3 linked regions of the Saccharomyces cerevisiae S288C genome follow. Changing the gene in region 1 together with any one later gene gives a genetic interaction. Each region holds a gene or a part of one and is shown in the gene's direction. Other genes may lie near its edges. The genes, in order: YNL034W, WRS1 and MTG1.

Evidence for each region.
Region 2: mutations in YNL034W (region 1) and WRS1 together harm fitness more than expected from each alone (negative genetic interaction), as found in Saccharomyces cerevisiae (one large-scale study listed by BioGRID).
Region 3: mutations in YNL034W (region 1) and MTG1 together harm fitness more than expected from each alone (negative genetic interaction), as found in Saccharomyces cerevisiae (one large-scale study listed by BioGRID).

Annotation. Positions count from the first base shown.
Region 1 is NC_001146.8:567,812-574,146, forward strand, and holds YNL034W (uncharacterized protein), read left to right. Parts: upstream 1-2,665; coding exon 2,666-4,504; downstream 4,505-6,335. Other genes in the region: YNL035C (uncharacterized protein), read right to left, coding at 711-1,880; YNL033W (uncharacterized protein), read left to right, coding at 5,188-6,042.
Region 2 is NC_001147.6:133,959-139,430, reverse strand, and holds WRS1 (tryptophan--tRNA ligase WRS1), read left to right. Parts: upstream 1-1,605; coding exon 1,606-2,904; downstream 2,905-5,472. Other genes in the region: HMI1 (ATP-dependent 3'-5' DNA helicase), read left to right, coding at 1-204; COQ3 (hexaprenyldihydroxybenzoate methyltransferase), read left to right, coding at 386-1,324; YOL097W-A (uncharacterized protein), read right to left, coding at 3,026-3,211; SDD3 (Sdd3p), read left to right, coding at 3,593-5,472.
Region 3 is NC_001145.3:458,310-463,919, reverse strand, and holds MTG1 (putative GTPase MTG1), read left to right. Parts: upstream 1-3,392; coding exon 3,393-4,496; downstream 4,497-5,610. Other genes in the region: ATP25 (Atp25p), read left to right, coding at 1,311-3,149; pyridoxine biosynthesis protein SNZ1, read right to left, coding at 4,619-5,512. UniProt on the Saccharomyces cerevisiae protein: Mitochondrial GTPase involved in assembly of the large ribosomal subunit. Plays a role in expression of the mitochondrial translational machinery.

The DNA of each region.
Region 1 (6,335 bases):
TATCATCATTTTATATGTTAATATTCATTGATCCTATTACATTATCAATCCTTGCGTTTCAGCTTCCACTAATTTAGATGACTATTTCTCATCATTTGCGTCATCTTCTAACACCGTATATGATAATATACTAGTAACGTAAATACTAGTTAGTAGATGATAGTTGATTTTTATTCCAACACATTCCAATACCACTGATAAGTACATTCTGCATGTCTATTTATAAAACCTTCTTTAAGACAAATATGCTATTTATCCTTTGATAACAATTTCCTGTGAGACAGAAATCACCATAAAATAATCGGGCGTGTGGTCTAGTGGTATGATTCTCGCTTTGGGCGACTTCCTGCCTAAACAGGAAGACAAAGCATGCGAGAGGCCCTGGGTTCAATTCCCAGCTCGCCCCTTTATATTTTTTCACCATCAACGTGGTGTTTCACTTATTCCTTTTCTAGTATTTTTTTTCCACCTTATAGAAGCGTGCACGTTTAATGCTGGAGATAAAAAAAAAAAATGCATTAATACTCTATATAGCAGAAATATAGTTGTTATAACATTGTACCAACAAAAGAAGCCCTATGAAGATAAACTATGATCTAGAAGTATCAACTTGTTTGGAATGTATGCTTCGTTTTTTAAGTTATAGAGTAGTTCTGCCGAAATCTCTTGCAGATGTTAGGCATCTCTTTAGATGTATTGTCTTTATGAAACTAGTATGGTTTGAAACGACTTTTCATGGAATGTTTCTTGGCTTTCTTGTGTTTCTCCTTCCTTGGCCTCGTGGAAACCGATTCTTTTTGAATAATAAGAGGTTCGTCTAAATTAATGGAACCTTCTCTGTCGTCATCTCCTAAGACGTTCATTTTTTTAGAGTAATCCCAAAAATTTTCTGGAATATCTAACGGCCCCTGTTTGTTTTCCCAAATTTTAACGCAACCATCTTCACCACAGGAGTATAACATGTTGCTATGTTGTGCTGGTATAAAAATATCTCTGACGACCTCGTCTCCATGGGCGTGTGGGATAACAATACCGTTTTCAGTATCCACCTTCTCATCTTTAAATGGTAGGAGGCACAACTCTCCACAATTTTCTTGGGTTTTACCGGTTGCAATGAGTCCAGGGTAAATATCTACCACGTAGTCACAGTTCCATATTTCTCTTACATCACCAAAGTCCAAGGGTTGTGGCTCTTTCAATTCGTCAGATTTGTCGTTCAATTCGTGAATTGCAAATGTTTCCATATGTGATAGTGTAAATATCCTCTTTGGGGACAACCATCCACAGGAATGTATTGACGCATAATTAATAACTTGGTGTAAAGCGTCCTCCTCCTCATCTTGTTTCAAGTCATAAATGTTCGTGTAACCATCAGTTGAACCACTGAGCAAAATATTGACGTCAGAAGGATGAAATTTAATACAGGTAACGTCATCATGGTGAGAGTCAATTAATGATCTCAATGGAGTGTCCCATTTGCGAATATCATATATGTATACAGCAGCGTCAATTCCCTGCAATTCGGTACCACAGGCCAATAGACCATGACGAGAATCTAAGGAAATAAAGGGGGAGTTGGCCTCGTTTTGAATTTGAGCAATGCGGTCATTCGTCCTTATATCGAAAACTTTCACCGCGTCGATAGAGGCGCTACTAACTAGATGACCAGCAGAGAAGTCGCTACCGATGACCTTCATATCATTGATTGCAGTTTCGCTCGCCTTAATCTTTTGTACTGATTTACCAGTACTCCAGTCTAGCAAACGTATTTCGCCATTACTTAATCCAGTTAAAAGACCATGTTTATAACTAGGCTGTAACTTAAGACACCAATTTTCTGACCCGAAAGAATTCGATTCAACTAAAGAATAACTAGCCATGCTCTAGAAGTTAATTTGAGATTCTCGAACTTAAGTAGTTTTTATTTACACAGTAAGACGAGCCAGTGCCTATGTCCTAATGACTGCGTACGTGCACTGTAGTCCCATCTAACATTTTTACAATCTGGACTAAGAAAACTTTTATAAATCACATTGCCAATGCAAAAAAAAAGAATGGTCTCTAGCGGGATCGAACCGCTGATCCCCGCGTTATTAGCACGGTGCCTTAACCAACTGGGCCAAGAGACCACTGTTATCTGTTTTCCACCGTCCCTCCACACTACCAAACCAACGTCACTACTGTGTGCCAGCACCACCGCTCATTATCCCTGTGCCACAAAACTCAACTTACACTGTCATTCGAATTTCCGGCAAACTCCGACTGAGAAATGTTCGTACTACTTCCTTTCTAGGGCACATTGAGGAAAAACTCATTGAATGCACCCTTTACAAATCTTAATATCTCTGACGTTTGTATTGTATTAACCAAGCAACCCTCCCTGTGCAAGTAGAAGCCCTGGATCCTTTGTGGTCGTAAAATGAACAAATACCAATAAGACGAAAACAAAAACAAAAACAAAACGACATAGCAACAATGCGGAATTATTTAAGGCTGGCACTCTTTCCGCATGTTTATCACAATTATTTCCACTTTCACTTAAAACCTTGTTTAAGCTTGGCCTACACCACAGGAAAAAAAACCATCCGATCTAATCTTCAAATATCAATTTGAGGTTGAAAAAATTTGCTAAAGCGTTGGTCTAATTTTGTTTTTCGCCCACATAATGTCTACATCTTTCCAGGAGTTCAAGGCCTTTTGCAACAAGGTTGGGCTAGACTTTCAATGGCTTAATTTGCAATCCTCCAAGTCTGTTCCCGAAAGCGGTTCCTCTGAAGGTTTCTCAGCCGTCAGTGATACCGTACAAGAAAACATCAGACCAGCTACGGAACCACTTAACGTCAACCAGTCCAAAGATCCTGTCAGCAACTTTTTTTATGATGTCAAGAATGCTCCGCTCTGGAACGTGTATAAGAGGAATCATTCCGGTCATTCTTCTACTGAGGCTTGCTCTGGAGTAAGTTCAGGGCAAGCGTCAAAAAACATACCCGAGGCAATGGTAAAAGAGACAGTCCTTTCTAATCACGACAATGTCACCATAATAAACGAATTACTGCCAACGTCTTCTGCCATGCACCAGGAAGAAAGCACCGCTATGACAACCTCCTACCTCTTATCCCACTCCGTAAATGATAGTTGCAACGTAATGCTTTCTTCCTCCTCCCACAACCGTGCTATGCTCCCACCTTCTCTTGTGCAAAGAAATAACGCTACCACATCTCCCACAACAGACTCTGCGTCAGAAAACAACGAATCGGTACCCTCACTAACCTCATCTGTTAGCACATCCTCATCAGTTTATTCGTCATGGAATCCTCCTCATTCTCCCCACATATCGTCATTTCCAGACGGCAATTTCGCATCGCTTAACGCAGAAGTGACTTGCTTTGATTTCCGCCGCACCAAGGACTCCAGAACAAAAGAGACGAATGAATCTATCATTCCAACTGAAATTTACTGCCCAATAAATTCCACTGATCACCACAAACATTATCCAAGCCAAAAATCTAAACAAGATGCCTGCGCTCCTGCTCCCCGCAATCAAAATATAAGCTGCAGCGTCGGGTCCGCAGCGGAATTTTCCCAGTCTAACCACACGTTGACTACTGTAGTTCCTTCATACATGCAACAGTACCTTGACAGGCCACAGAACTGGTTTGAAAGCAAAATGGGAAAATACTGTCCACTCTTTCTGAGAAGTACAAAGAACATTGACTACGATTCCCTCGAATTTAAATTTGAGCGCAAGATGATAGCTGTTCAATACCTGCTTTTAGACGAACAATCTGAGCCCAGAAGGTACTACAATCCCTCAAATAAAAGTATTCCATTCTGGAAGAGACCCTTCAACTTCGATACAATGCCCAGCTACGACCAACTTATGGAGGAAGCAGAGTGCCGTTTTTATTCATACCAATACAAATACGAAGGTTTCCAGAGGATTGAGCCCTACTCCATTTTTTGTCCCTGGAAAAACACACAAAGAGAAATAGATCTGGTTCTTGATCACATTCATTTTTCTCTCGATGTCGGCGAGAAGAAGTCTTTAAACCGAAAAGGAAACATCACTCTCGATACTTTAGACAGTAAGGTCGATCCTAACATTCAGATCAAGCCGTATCAGATTTTTCCGTCCAACAACCTAGTATACGAAGGCTTACCGCATCCCGCCGAACAATCCTTAATTTTGAGTCCTGGCACCTCCCTCATTGAGAGGGCGTTTCAGGCACTGATAGACATATGCAAGGAATCTATTCCACCTTCTAATGACTGTACTACCCGCAACCATAATAGCGCTCCTCAGCTTACCGTGCCAGAACCATCTAAACCATGCCGGCTACTACTTGTTCGTGAGTCTCGCACAGCAACAGAACTAGAAACTAACAAAAAGCTCTGGCTCCACTCACAGAGAAGGAATATCGAAGTGACCGTACCAATGCATCCTTCTGAGCATGGGACAAAAAGCCGGTTACGAAAATGGCTCTCAACTTTTGTACATCAGTGAACCGTCAGAAGTTCCGATAGTTCGAACTGTTTGGCACGGCTGACGAAATACTTTTAACGAGCAAGTTAGTCTACACATAACTTCGTACTTACCACCGTTTTCTTCTGGCGCGCCTCTTCAAGTAGACTACCACTTCCCTCTTGTAATAGTTGTTATATATGTTTTCATAGTCTGATTTAAATTTTACGCATATTCATCAATTAACCCAATGCACCAAAAAGGCGGGAAAGAAGCAGTAAAGCAAAGGCCTTTGCCAAGCCTTCTTATCGACAGAAGCAGCCTCAAAAGGTTCCTTCGAGAGCGGCGCGCGTATTTATTCACATCGCGAATCACTGGACCCTTAAAATAAAGGCGCCTATTCACGACATCTGCCACAGAAACAACTGTTCAGTTATCCTAGCAGCAGTTTTTGCACAACGGTATAAACCTGTACAAAACTTTAGCAAGGTTTTTTAACAACAAAAGTGCTTGAGGGACACAACACAAACTATAGAACAGACACTGTTTTCCTGACACTGCTTTCCTGACAAGAGACTCGTTTCTGAATTATTTTTTTTTTCAAGCATCTTTGTTTCGCTGGAACCATTGAGTCTTTTCTTCCATTTTTAATCTTTATTCTGCCTCCTTTCCTAAACACAAGTTGATACAACGAGGCTGTCAATAGCAAGAGCGTGCGCGAGATCATGCTTTACTCCAGAGAATCAAGGACAACCGTCCTTTTCCTTGCGTTGGTTACCTCCCTAACCGTACTTTGTCACTCGGTCGATGTAACAACTGTATTTACTACGTCAACAATCACCGAAATCACAACTGTGACTGCCGCACCGCAACCACAAAACAAAGCGGAAACCGCTTTGAATACTGCTACTAACATAATTCAAACCATGCAGTTTCTTTTCAACTGCGCACCATTTAAGTGGAAGGGTCCTTTGAAAATAACTTCTTGTGCGCTGAACTTTATTGTCCTACTACTCACCGCTTGGGGCTATCTTCTGAAGTATCTGCAGGAAAATAAGCTGAATAGCGATGCTGATATGGAAAAAATGGTAGGACTGGGATTTGGGGAAATGGTCGGCAGAATCTTCGGAAAGGGTGTCGGGAAAGCTTTTACTAAAATGGATATCACTCAGAAACTAGTGTACCCGTTCGAAGGAAGCAACCGGCAGAAATGTCTACTCATGACCGTCGGAGAAAACTCGATAGTGCCATTCCACGATTTGTTTACAGAGATATGCTTTGACCAGTACACTCTGGACTCGCTATCCCACCACAACCATGGGAGTATTTCGATTTTAGATGCTGGATCAGTGAGCGCCTTGGGGTTCGCGGATATTTCATCGAAAATGCCCTCTGTAAGCGAACTATACACACTTTTTGGAGATTATACGATAGAAGTACTGGGCGGCATCACTAAACTGGCTTCAACTCTTAACAGAGAGGACTGGCAGGGGGAAAGAAACGGGTTCGCGGTTTTATCGAGAGACCGGCCTAACCAGACGTTACTAAGCGTCCATATGTACTCTTCAAGCTTGCTATAGATGGAGCTGCTCCTGGCTGTACACACCATACACCAACTTACCCCTACATGTACATAGTATCTGTCAGTATTTCACTTTAATAGGTATTAATAAAAATTTCAATCTGTGAACACTCAAACCTGTTTCCCAGTAAAAATATACAGCGGCATTGAGTCTTGCGGCTCGCCAACTTGGAAGCAGCCGGGAATGATACTACTGCAATGGCTTTTTATAGTACATATCGACTTTGCCAGCTACATAAGGGAAAAATTAATGTCTAAAAAAAGCGCTTACATCCTTCTTGCAATTGCAAG
Region 2 (5,472 bases), on another chromosome or scaffold:
AAATCATCACCATACTCAAGAAACATAATGTCTAATAATTTATTCTGGACTTACTACAATAAGGATTTGAAACGATCTGTATGTGACGTTAAGGTGACACATGGTTATAATGTGCAGCGATACAATCAGTTACGTAAAAATTTTGGATTTTATAGAGCATATTCTTCACTAAGAGGTTGTAAGAGCGTTTTCAGACGTATATAGAATAGTTTTTTACTTACCTTTCATAATGTATTATCACCCTTTTACATAATACAAGTTTTAGAAGCAGATATTTTTATTTTTTTCATTTCCATTGTTCAAAAAGAGGGATGGTAAAGTATGCTAAAAGGCATACAAAACAATTAAAGGGAAACAGGTACAGCGAAGTCTTATGGGATTCATAATGTTGTTAAGATCTAGATTTTTGAAGGTTATTCATGTGAGGAAACAATTGAGCGCCTGTTCAAGATTTGCAATTCAAACACAAACGAGATGTAAGAGCACAGATGCTTCTGAAGATGAAGTGAAGCATTTCCAGGAGCTAGCCCCTACTTGGTGGGATACAGACGGATCACAAAGAATTCTACACAAAATGAATCTAACTAGGTTAGATTTTGTGCAGAGGACTGTGAGGAACCAGGTTAAAATTCAGAATCCTGAAATATTTGTCCCTGGATTTAATTACAAGGAGTTTCTACCAGAATACGTCTGCGACAATATTCAGCGGGAAATGCAGGAAAGCATAGAGACTAATCTAGATAAGAGGCCAGAAGTGAGCGTCTTGGATGTTGGATGCGGTGGTGGCATTTTGAGTGAATCGCTCGCGAGACTAAAATGGGTGAAGAATGTTCAAGGGATCGATCTGACTCGCGATTGTATCATGGTAGCAAAAGAGCATGCCAAGAAAGACCCCATGCTGGAGGGAAAGATAAATTATGAGTGCAAGGCTCTGGAGGATGTTACTGGACAATTTGATATTATCACCTGTATGGAAATGCTAGAGCACGTGGATATGCCTAGTGAAATTTTAAGGCATTGTTGGTCGAGGTTAAATCCCGAAAAAGGTATACTCTTTTTAAGTACTATAAACAGAGATCTCATCTCATGGTTTACTACAATTTTTATGGGTGAAAACGTCTTGAAGATCGTCCCAAAGGGTACTCATCATTTGAGCAAATACATAAACTCAAAGGAAATCCTTGCCTGGTTCAATGACAACTACAGTGGCCAATTTCGCTTGTTGGATCTCAAGGGGACCATGTACCTCCCATATCAAGGGTGGGTTGAGCACGATTGTTCCGATGTCGGTAATTATTTTATGGCTATTCAGAGACTGAATTGAAATCAAACGAAAAGTAGGTATCTGACTGTAAATATCTTCTTATATAAATATATATATATACACTTTTTCACGTACAGCATGAGTTCAAAAAGCAATGGCATGGTCCTGCGTTTATTAAATGATGTATCCTTTTCAAGACGCCAGTAATTTATTCAATACAGTATCTCTTTTCCGCTTATAATGGAAAAGAGAGAAAAAAGATCAAAACGTTGAAAAATTTTTTTTAGTCATTGAGGTATCAGAAATAAAACTCAATAACAAAAAATAGTCGTAGAACAACGATGAGCAACGACGAAACTGTAGAGAAAGTCACCCAACAAGTGTCGGAACTAAAAAGCACAGATGTTAAAGAGCAAGTAGTTACACCTTGGGATGTGGAAGGTGGGGTTGATGAACAAGGTAGAGCCCAAAATATTGATTACGACAAATTGATCAAACAATTCGGTACTAAGCCGGTCAACGAAGAAACCCTGAAGAGATTCAAGCAAGTGACGGGTCGTGAACCACATCATTTTTTGCGTAAGGGATTGTTTTTCAGTGAGCGTGACTTCACTAAAATATTAGACCTTTACGAACAAGGCAAACCATTTTTCCTATACACTGGTAGAGGTCCTTCGAGCGATTCTATGCACTTGGGTCATATGATCCCTTTTGTCTTCACCAAATGGTTACAGGAAGTGTTTGACGTACCATTAGTCATAGAGTTGACAGATGACGAAAAATTTTTATTCAAACACAAGTTGACCATCAATGACGTTAAGAATTTTGCCCGTGAAAATGCCAAGGATATCATTGCTGTTGGCTTTGATCCAAAGAACACCTTTATCTTTTCTGATTTGCAATACATGGGTGGTGCATTTTACGAAACTGTAGTAAGAGTTTCCAGACAAATTACAGGATCCACTGCAAAGGCTGTTTTCGGGTTTAATGACTCCGACTGTATTGGTAAGTTCCATTTTGCCTCCATTCAAATTGCTACCGCATTCCCAAGCTCATTTCCTAATGTGTTAGGCTTGCCTGATAAGACACCATGTTTGATTCCATGTGCAATTGACCAAGATCCATATTTCAGAGTTTGTAGGGATGTCGCGGATAAATTGAAGTACTCCAAACCTGCTTTGCTTCATTCCAGATTCTTTCCAGCTTTGCAAGGTTCCACGACCAAAATGTCAGCCTCTGATGATACCACTGCCATTTTCATGACCGATACACCAAAGCAAATTCAAAAGAAAATTAACAAGTACGCATTCAGCGGTGGTCAAGTGTCCGCCGACCTACATAGAGAATTAGGTGGTAATCCCGATGTCGATGTTGCATACCAATACTTGTCATTTTTCAAGGATGACGATGTTTTCTTGAAGGAATGCTATGACAAATATAAGTCCGGTGAATTACTATCAGGTGAAATGAAGAAACTGTGTATCGAGACTCTGCAAGAATTCGTTAAGGCGTTCCAGGAACGCAGAGCTCAGGTGGACGAAGAGACCTTGGACAAATTCATGGTCCCACATAAGTTGGTTTGGGGCGAAAAGGAAAGACTTGTCGCACCTAAGCCAAAAACTAAGCAAGAAAAGAAGTAAGTAGTCACGCTTATTCTGACGCTATTATATACAATGATATAGAATCCGAAATTGTAGTTTAACACTAAAAAAATAATGCAATAGAACAATAGTGTTGCGATGTCTCCTGACCTCACTATTTCTATAGATTGGTATGAAAAATTTTTTTTTCAAATATATGGGAAAAATTTTTCACGGCATATAAAAGACTACCATCTTTCTGCATCAGTGTGCCAGACCCATTCTCACACCAAGAAGCGAGGAAGCTAACAGGCCAGTACTTGCAGGTTAGGTTTTCGTGCTCAGATGAGCAGATCATGGACTGCATTGTGCTGTTGTTGCACAGTAAATTTTGTATACCATACTTTATGATGATATTCTTTACGAACTTTTAGACGTTAGACTTCTGAAGGAGATTAGACCCTCCTATGGAAGAGAAACTCGTTAAACTTATCTGAGTAGGTATGTGTATATGCGTCTCTTGTATTATACAAATGTTCTTATTTCTTGTCCTGCATTTTTCCGAGTATTGGTAAATTCATGTAAATTTTTCATCCCATAGATCGTAATTTTGAAGTAGTGGCAAAAGATTTTAACAGAGCGTAAGATATAGTGAGAGAAACTACTCGCTGAAAAGTTGAAAGTGACCCAAAAAACGGCACGAAGACCAATTATACGCACTTTCAACACAGTTCGTCGAATCTTCACAATGGGGTTCAAGAAGCTCGTATCATTCCAACCGGATTATGTCCCACAATACCATATAACTAAATATATCTCGGAACGAACTAAACTGCAACTGGTACATATAAACCACAAAACCTCCCCATTGGTTCACGGTTACTTTGCTGTTCCTACAGAATGTCTTAATGATTCAGGTGCTCCGCATACCTTGGAGCATTTGATCTTCATGGGTTCTAAATCTTACCCATACAAAGGTTTATTAGACACAGCTGGTAATCTGTCTTTGTCTAACACCAATGCTTGGACTGATACCGACCAAACTGTTTATACATTAAGCAGTGCTGGCTGGAAGGGATTCTCAAAGTTGCTACCTGCTTATCTAGATCACATCCTACATCCAACTTTAACAGACGAGGCTTGTTTAACTGAGGTTTATCACATCGACCCGGAAAATTTGGGTGATAAAGGTGTGGTATTTAGTGAAATGGAAGCCATTGAAACTCAGGGCTGGTACATTTCAGGGTTAGAAAAGCAGCGATTAATGTTTCCTGAAGGAAGTGGCTATCGGTCAGAAACTGGTGGGCTAACGAAAAATTTAAGAACCTTAACCAACGACGAAATCAGACAATTTCACAAATCTCTGTATTCTTCTGATAATCTTTGTGTCATTGTTTGTGGTAACGTACCAACAGATGAACTGTTAACCGTCATGGAAGAATGGGATAACAAATTGCCGGAGATTCCATCGAATATACCAAAGAAAAGACCATTTTTGGACAACAAGCTTTCGCACATACCGCAATCTAGAGATAAAGTTACGGAATCTACTGTAGAATTTCCTGAACTTGATGAAAGTCAGGGTGAATTACTCTTTTCTTGGATTGGTGTTCCCTACTCAGATTTTCGTAATGACCTAGCGGTTGATGTGCTATTAGATTACTTTACTGACTCTGCATTGGCAGTGTTTACAAGAGAACTGGTTGAAATTGACGATCCCATGGCAAATTCCACTGATTGTTGCACTGATTATTTCATGAGAACCATAATTGATCTTCGTATCCAAGGTGTCCCAACAGAAAAAATAGCAGCAACAAAGACCAAGGTACTGGAGATTTTGAAAACCCATACCATTGATTTATCAAGAGTTAGACAGGTAGTTGAAAATACTAAATGGGAATATTTGCTGAACTATGAAAAAAATGGCGAGAGTCGTTTTTCTAGTGCTGTGATTACCGACTATATTTATGGTAATGAAGATGGTTCTTCATTAGTGTCTTCTCTCAAGGATTTAAGTGATTTTGATGCTTTATTACAATGGTCCCAAAAGGACTGGCAATCTTTGCTGAACAGAATATTCGTAGACAACAAACCTATCATAGTTACCGCTAAACCAAGCGCTTTGATGTATGAACAACTAGAGAAAGAAAAATCGGATTTGATCAAACAAAGAGAAGCTGAATTTGATGATGAAAAGAAACTGGTTTTATTGAAAAGATTGAACAATGCAAAAAATATTAATGATAGGCCAATTCCGAAATCTCTACTACAGAAATTTGAGATTGATAATCCTTCAAAGAGTGTTGAATTTGTCAACACGAAAAGCATTGCAACTGTCGATTCGTATAAATACAATAATGTTAGTGATCCGCTGACCAAAAAAATTTTAGAAACGAGGCCAGACAATTTTCCTCTTTTCATTCACTTAAATCATTTCCCGTCTCAATTTATAGAGCTGCATTTTTTGGTCAACTCCGCATCTATTAAGGATACCTCGCTTTTACCATATTTTAATATGTTTGACGAGCTATTTTCCATGCCAATGAAAATCCTTGATGAGGAGAGTAATGTAGAAACTATGCTCTCGTTTGAGGAAGTTGTCGCCAAGTTAAAATCAGAAACTATTGA
Region 3 (5,610 bases), on another chromosome or scaffold:
TGTAGCAACGGTAATTTTTATAAAGTAAATTCCCAGTTGTATACTTTTCTTAATGTGGGCTATTTGATTACCTCCATCCTTTATCTTTGTTTTTGTTGACGAACAACTAAAGCAACATTCTGTTTACTAAGACTCTTATTTAATTCCAAGTGCAGCAAGAACAAATTGCCAAAAGCGTATTGTTAAACTTGTTCTGGCAGCATATTATCGTAAAATTAAGTAACGTTTTTAAAAATGACACTGAATTCTACTTTGTGATGATCAAACAACACCCACCTGGTCTGATAAAAAAATCTCCGCGACGGGGAATTGAACCCCGATCTGGCACGCGACAAGCGCCCATTCTGACCATTAAACTATCACGGACAAATTTCTGAAGTTTTGTACTTTTACCAGTCCATCTAATACCATATATTTTGATAATAATTATGTCTTTGACAGTAACTTATCATCAGGACTGTTGGAATAAAAATCAAAAATCAACTATCGTCTATCAACTAGTAGTCACACTACCAGTATATTATGATATACGGTGTTAGATGATGGCATAAGGTATGAGAAGCTGTCATCGAAGTTAGAGGATGCTGAAATGCAAGGATTGATAATGTAATAGGATAATGAAACATGTAAAACAGAGTGAAGAATAATCGTAATACTATTATGTAGAAATATGGATTCCATTTGAGGGTTCCTATATCCTCGAGGAGAACTTTTAGTATATTTTGTGTACTATTATTATAGCTGTTAAGTATAATTGGATCCTAACAATTCTCATTATTTGTCAAATTCTCATCATCTATATATTAGACGCCGCATATAGGAAACAGCGATCAAACTTTAACGAAGCGAACATACAATATTCCTGATGTAATAATACCAATCAGCGAACTGTACGAAACAAATAGAAGAACGTTATATTATATGGGATTTTACACTTTTTTGGTGGTATCATATATGCTTGAAAAGATCCTGCAGCATTTCTATATACCTGATAATATTGGTTTTATTAGAAATGGGGTCACAATCATCCGAACTATCGTAACTTTAGAAATAATCCGTCTTTCTTAAATAGTACTCTAGTACACAGTAATGGTATTTGTTTTTACTAGTATTTCTTGACATCTTTTTCTAACCTCTCTTCTAATATACTTGCAATCTTCTGATAATTATGCTTTTCATCCCGATAAAGAGAAACAATGAGGACCATTCAGCCAAAAAAAAAAAAAGCAAGTTAAGCTACTAAGAAAGATCGACACCAAGTGAAGATTAAGTGTAATAGCCTGCTTATTCAAAAATTGAGGTTTGTTGACATGAATAAATTCTGTCTACTACCTTTCCATGGCAAGAGGATAGGCGTGGCCAATATTCCTTTTACCATATTATTCAAAAAGGGCCCTTATTTTCTTCATAGTCACATCACAGCAGTTTATTACTCGACAAAGGGCAAAAATGACAGTCATGAACAAAGTCGTGTATCCAAAAAGTCTACTTTTACCCCTCTGGAAACACCTTGGTACCTCAGGATTGTTGACAATGAAAAGGAACTAATGGAAGGTAAGAAAAATAACCACCACACGATGAACAAAGAATTGGAGATACCTAAAACCTCTCCAAACTCATTAAGAAAAATAGCAGACCTCCTAACTGGTAAACTTGGTCTGGATGACTTCCTGGTTTTCGATTTACGGAAGAAAAGCCCAAACTCTGTTTCAGCCGTTAATAAGTTGGGTGACTTCATGGTCATATGTACAGCAAGATCTACCAAACATTGTCATAAAAGTTTCTTAGAGTTGAACAAGTTTTTGAAGCACGAATTCTGTAGTAGTGCATACGTTGAAGGAAACTTTAATGAGCGACAAGAAAGTAGAAGAAAAAGAAGATTAGCAAGAAAATCCAACCTTAGTAAACTATTAGGTAGAAGCTCTGAATGCTCTGCAAAAGACTTAAATAGTGAGGCTTGGTATATGATTGATTGTCGTGTCGATGGTATTTTTGTAAATATTTTGACACAGAGAAGGCGTAATGAATTGAATTTAGAAGAGCTGTATGCACCTGAAAATGAGAAATCTAAGTTCCAAAATATAGATTCAGGTAATGTCCCTACTATTTCAGGGGTAAATGAAATTTCAAGCAACAATAATATTCTTTTAGGCCTAAGAAGACTGGCCCAGCAAAGGAGAAGGTATTCAACTATCAACCCAAACGGGCTAAGTAATTTAAGATACTTTCTACAAAAGGAAGACTTCAAAGGAGCCAATAAGATAATTCAGAGTAGTAGTGGTACTGAAACTCACAATATACGTACTTTGGAGCATGTTAAAAATACTTTAAAGGATTTGGTAGGACAAGAGAGGAAAGTAGATGTTGTTCAATGGAAGTCCTTATTTGACGAACATTCAACTTTTTTAACCATAAATCAATCGGCTGCATATTGGCCACTACGACTAGAATATGCGATACTTCTAAACAAAGCAGACCCACAATTTTATTCAGATCGTGTTTTCCTCAAGGATTATCTACTTTTAAAAAAATCGTTGGGGCAAGAGTTAATAAGGGAAGATCTAATCGCTCTTTTAGAAATGGTTTTGAAAACGCAGCATTCTAGTCATTCATACTTTAACCTAGTAAAGCAAAATAGGGTGATTATCAGAGCTTTGAACCTATTTAAAGGTCTACAAACAGAGGACGATGGCTCAGTTGTTTACGATGAAGTGGTAATATCCCTTCTTTTAAATTCCATGGTCGCGGATGAACGGGTAAAATTGAGATCACTCTACGAGACAATAGACCACATTTTCCAAACATTTGGAGATAAGTTGACTTCAGGCATGATTGTCTCAATATTGCAAAACTTGGCCAAAATCAAAGACTGGAATAAGCTACTTCAAGTCTGGGAAGCTATCACACCAACGGAAGGGGAAGGTCAGGACAAAAGGCCCTGGAATGAATTTATAAATGTTATCAATCAAAGCGGTGATAGTCACGTTATATCGAAAATCGTAAATAATGGTCATTTGCTATGGATCAGACGTTTAAATGTTAACGTAACTCCGGAGTTATGCAACTCCATTAAAGCGTTATTAAAAACCGCTGGAATGGAGAATTCCACATTGGAAGAATTCCTAGTCCGTGGAACAAACAATCAATAGTATTACCTGTATATAATATCTTAATCTCTCGTCGTTCGCCTTATTTATATTTGAATCAAATATTTAATTCTGCCACATGGTAGGTTCATTTTGCCGCAGATCAAAGAACACGGACCATCATGTCAAAAGTACACAATTTTTGTCTTTTCGAAACAATTTGGTTTAGTTATTAGGAGAAGAAAGAACGAATGATAATGCTCATTACTCAGACCTGAATGCAAAAAAGCCAAATCAAATACAGAAATGCACATAAATGTGAGAGGAACTAGGAAAATAATTTCCAACGTTTCATCCTTCACACCAAGATATGAATTTCCAAAGTACAGTATGCCTCTCACTGATTTCAAGGGACACCAAGTCAAAGCTCTTAAAACATTTGAAAAGTTGCTTCCTCAAATGAATATGATAATAGAACTACGTGATATACGTGCCCCGTTATCTACAAGGAATGTGGTTTTCGATCGAATAGCAAGAAAGGAACACGATGTGATGAAATTAGTGGTATACACTAGAAAGGATCTTATGCCCGGCAATAAGCCATATATAGGAAAGTTAAAGAATTGGCATGAAGAGCTGGGAGAAAAGTTTATTTTACTGGATTGCCGAAACAAAACTGACGTCAGGAATCTACTAAAAATACTAGAATGGCAAAATTACGAACTAGAAACAAATGGCGGATATCTACCTATGGGATACCGAGCATTGATTACTGGCATGCCAAATGTTGGAAAATCTACTTTAATAAATAGCTTGAGGACAATTTTTCACAATCAAGTGAATATGGGAAGAAAATTTAAGAAAGTAGCCAAAACTGGTGCAGAAGCTGGTGTTACTAGAGCCACAAGCGAGGTTATTAGAGTAACTTCACGGAATACGGAATCAAGAAATGAAATATACTTGATAGATACTCCAGGAATCGGTGTTCCCGGTCGCGTTTCAGATCATAATAGAATGCTAGGACTGGCGTTGTGTGGTAGTGTTAAAAATAACCTTGTAGATCCAATATTTCAAGCGGATTACCTTTTATACCTAATGAACTTGCAAAATTTGAACGATGGAAGAACAGAGCTTTACCCTGGAAGCACCAATTCTCCCACAAATGATATATATGATGTTTTAAGAAGGCTTCAAGTGAATAAAAGCCAAAATGAAAAATCAACGGCTATCGAGTGGACTAACAAATGGAGGTTGCATGGAAAGGGTATCATATTTGACCCTGAGGTACTGTTGAATAATGACGAGTTTTCTTATAAAAACTATGTAAATGATCAATTGGAAAAGTTAGGAGATCTTTCGTATGAGGGATTGTCTAACAAACTAAAAGGGAACCCCAATCAAGTATTCTAGTAAATAATATCCAGCATACATAAGCTTATCTAATAATTAGATCATTTTACAATGTGTACCGAGTAATACAAAGTTGAGGGGGGAAAAAGTGTTATAATGCTCAAAATACCTGTTCAAAGAAATCACCACCCAATTTCGGAAAGTCTTACTCCATTGGAAGCATGACTAATAGATTCGATTGATACACCACCCATTAACTCTCCTAAGTCACTAGATACTTCCAACAATTTGCTGGGATTGTCAAAGTGAGTGGTAGCCTCTACTACTGCAGTGGCCAACCTTACAGGATTAGATGATTTAAAAATTCCTGAGCCAACAAACACACCATCACAACCCAACTGCATTAACAATGCGGCATCGGCTGGCGTTGCTACACCACCTGCAGCAAAATTTACTACTGGCAACTTACCTTTTTCTAAAACATCTTTCAGCAAAGAAACTGGTACCCTCATTTCCTCAGCAACTTTTGCAATGTCATCTTCGCTCTTCAATTGTTGGCACGCCTTTATCTCCTCTGTAATTCTCCTTATATGCTTGACGGCTTCAGAGACATCGCCCGTTCCAGCTTCACCCTTGGTACGAATCATAGCGGCGCCTTCATTAATTCTTCTCAAAGCTTCACCTAAGTCTTTAGCGCCACAAACAAATGGAACTTTGAATTTGTCCTTTTCAATGTGGTGAGTCCAATCAGCAGGAGTCAAGACTTCACTTTCGTCAATATAGTCAACTTCCAATGCCTCAATAATTTGAGCTTCAACAAAATGGCCAATCCTTACCTTAGCCATGACGGGAATGGAAACGGAGTTCATGATGTCCTTAATCATCTTCGGATCTGACATGCGGCAAACCTTTCCTGACTTACGCATATCTGCTGGGATGGATTCTAATGCCATTACCGCACATGCACCAGATTTTTCAGCTATTTTTGCCTGCTCTGGAGTAACAACATCCATAATAACGCCACCTTTTAACATTTGGGCGAGACCACTCTTGATCTTAAAGTCTTCTCCAGTCATCGTGATAATTAACTGAATATTAGTACTGTGTATATTTGCTAGTCGTTCCTAAAGGTTTCTCCAACAATACCATAGACTTCGTCCATAGCTCTCAGCGT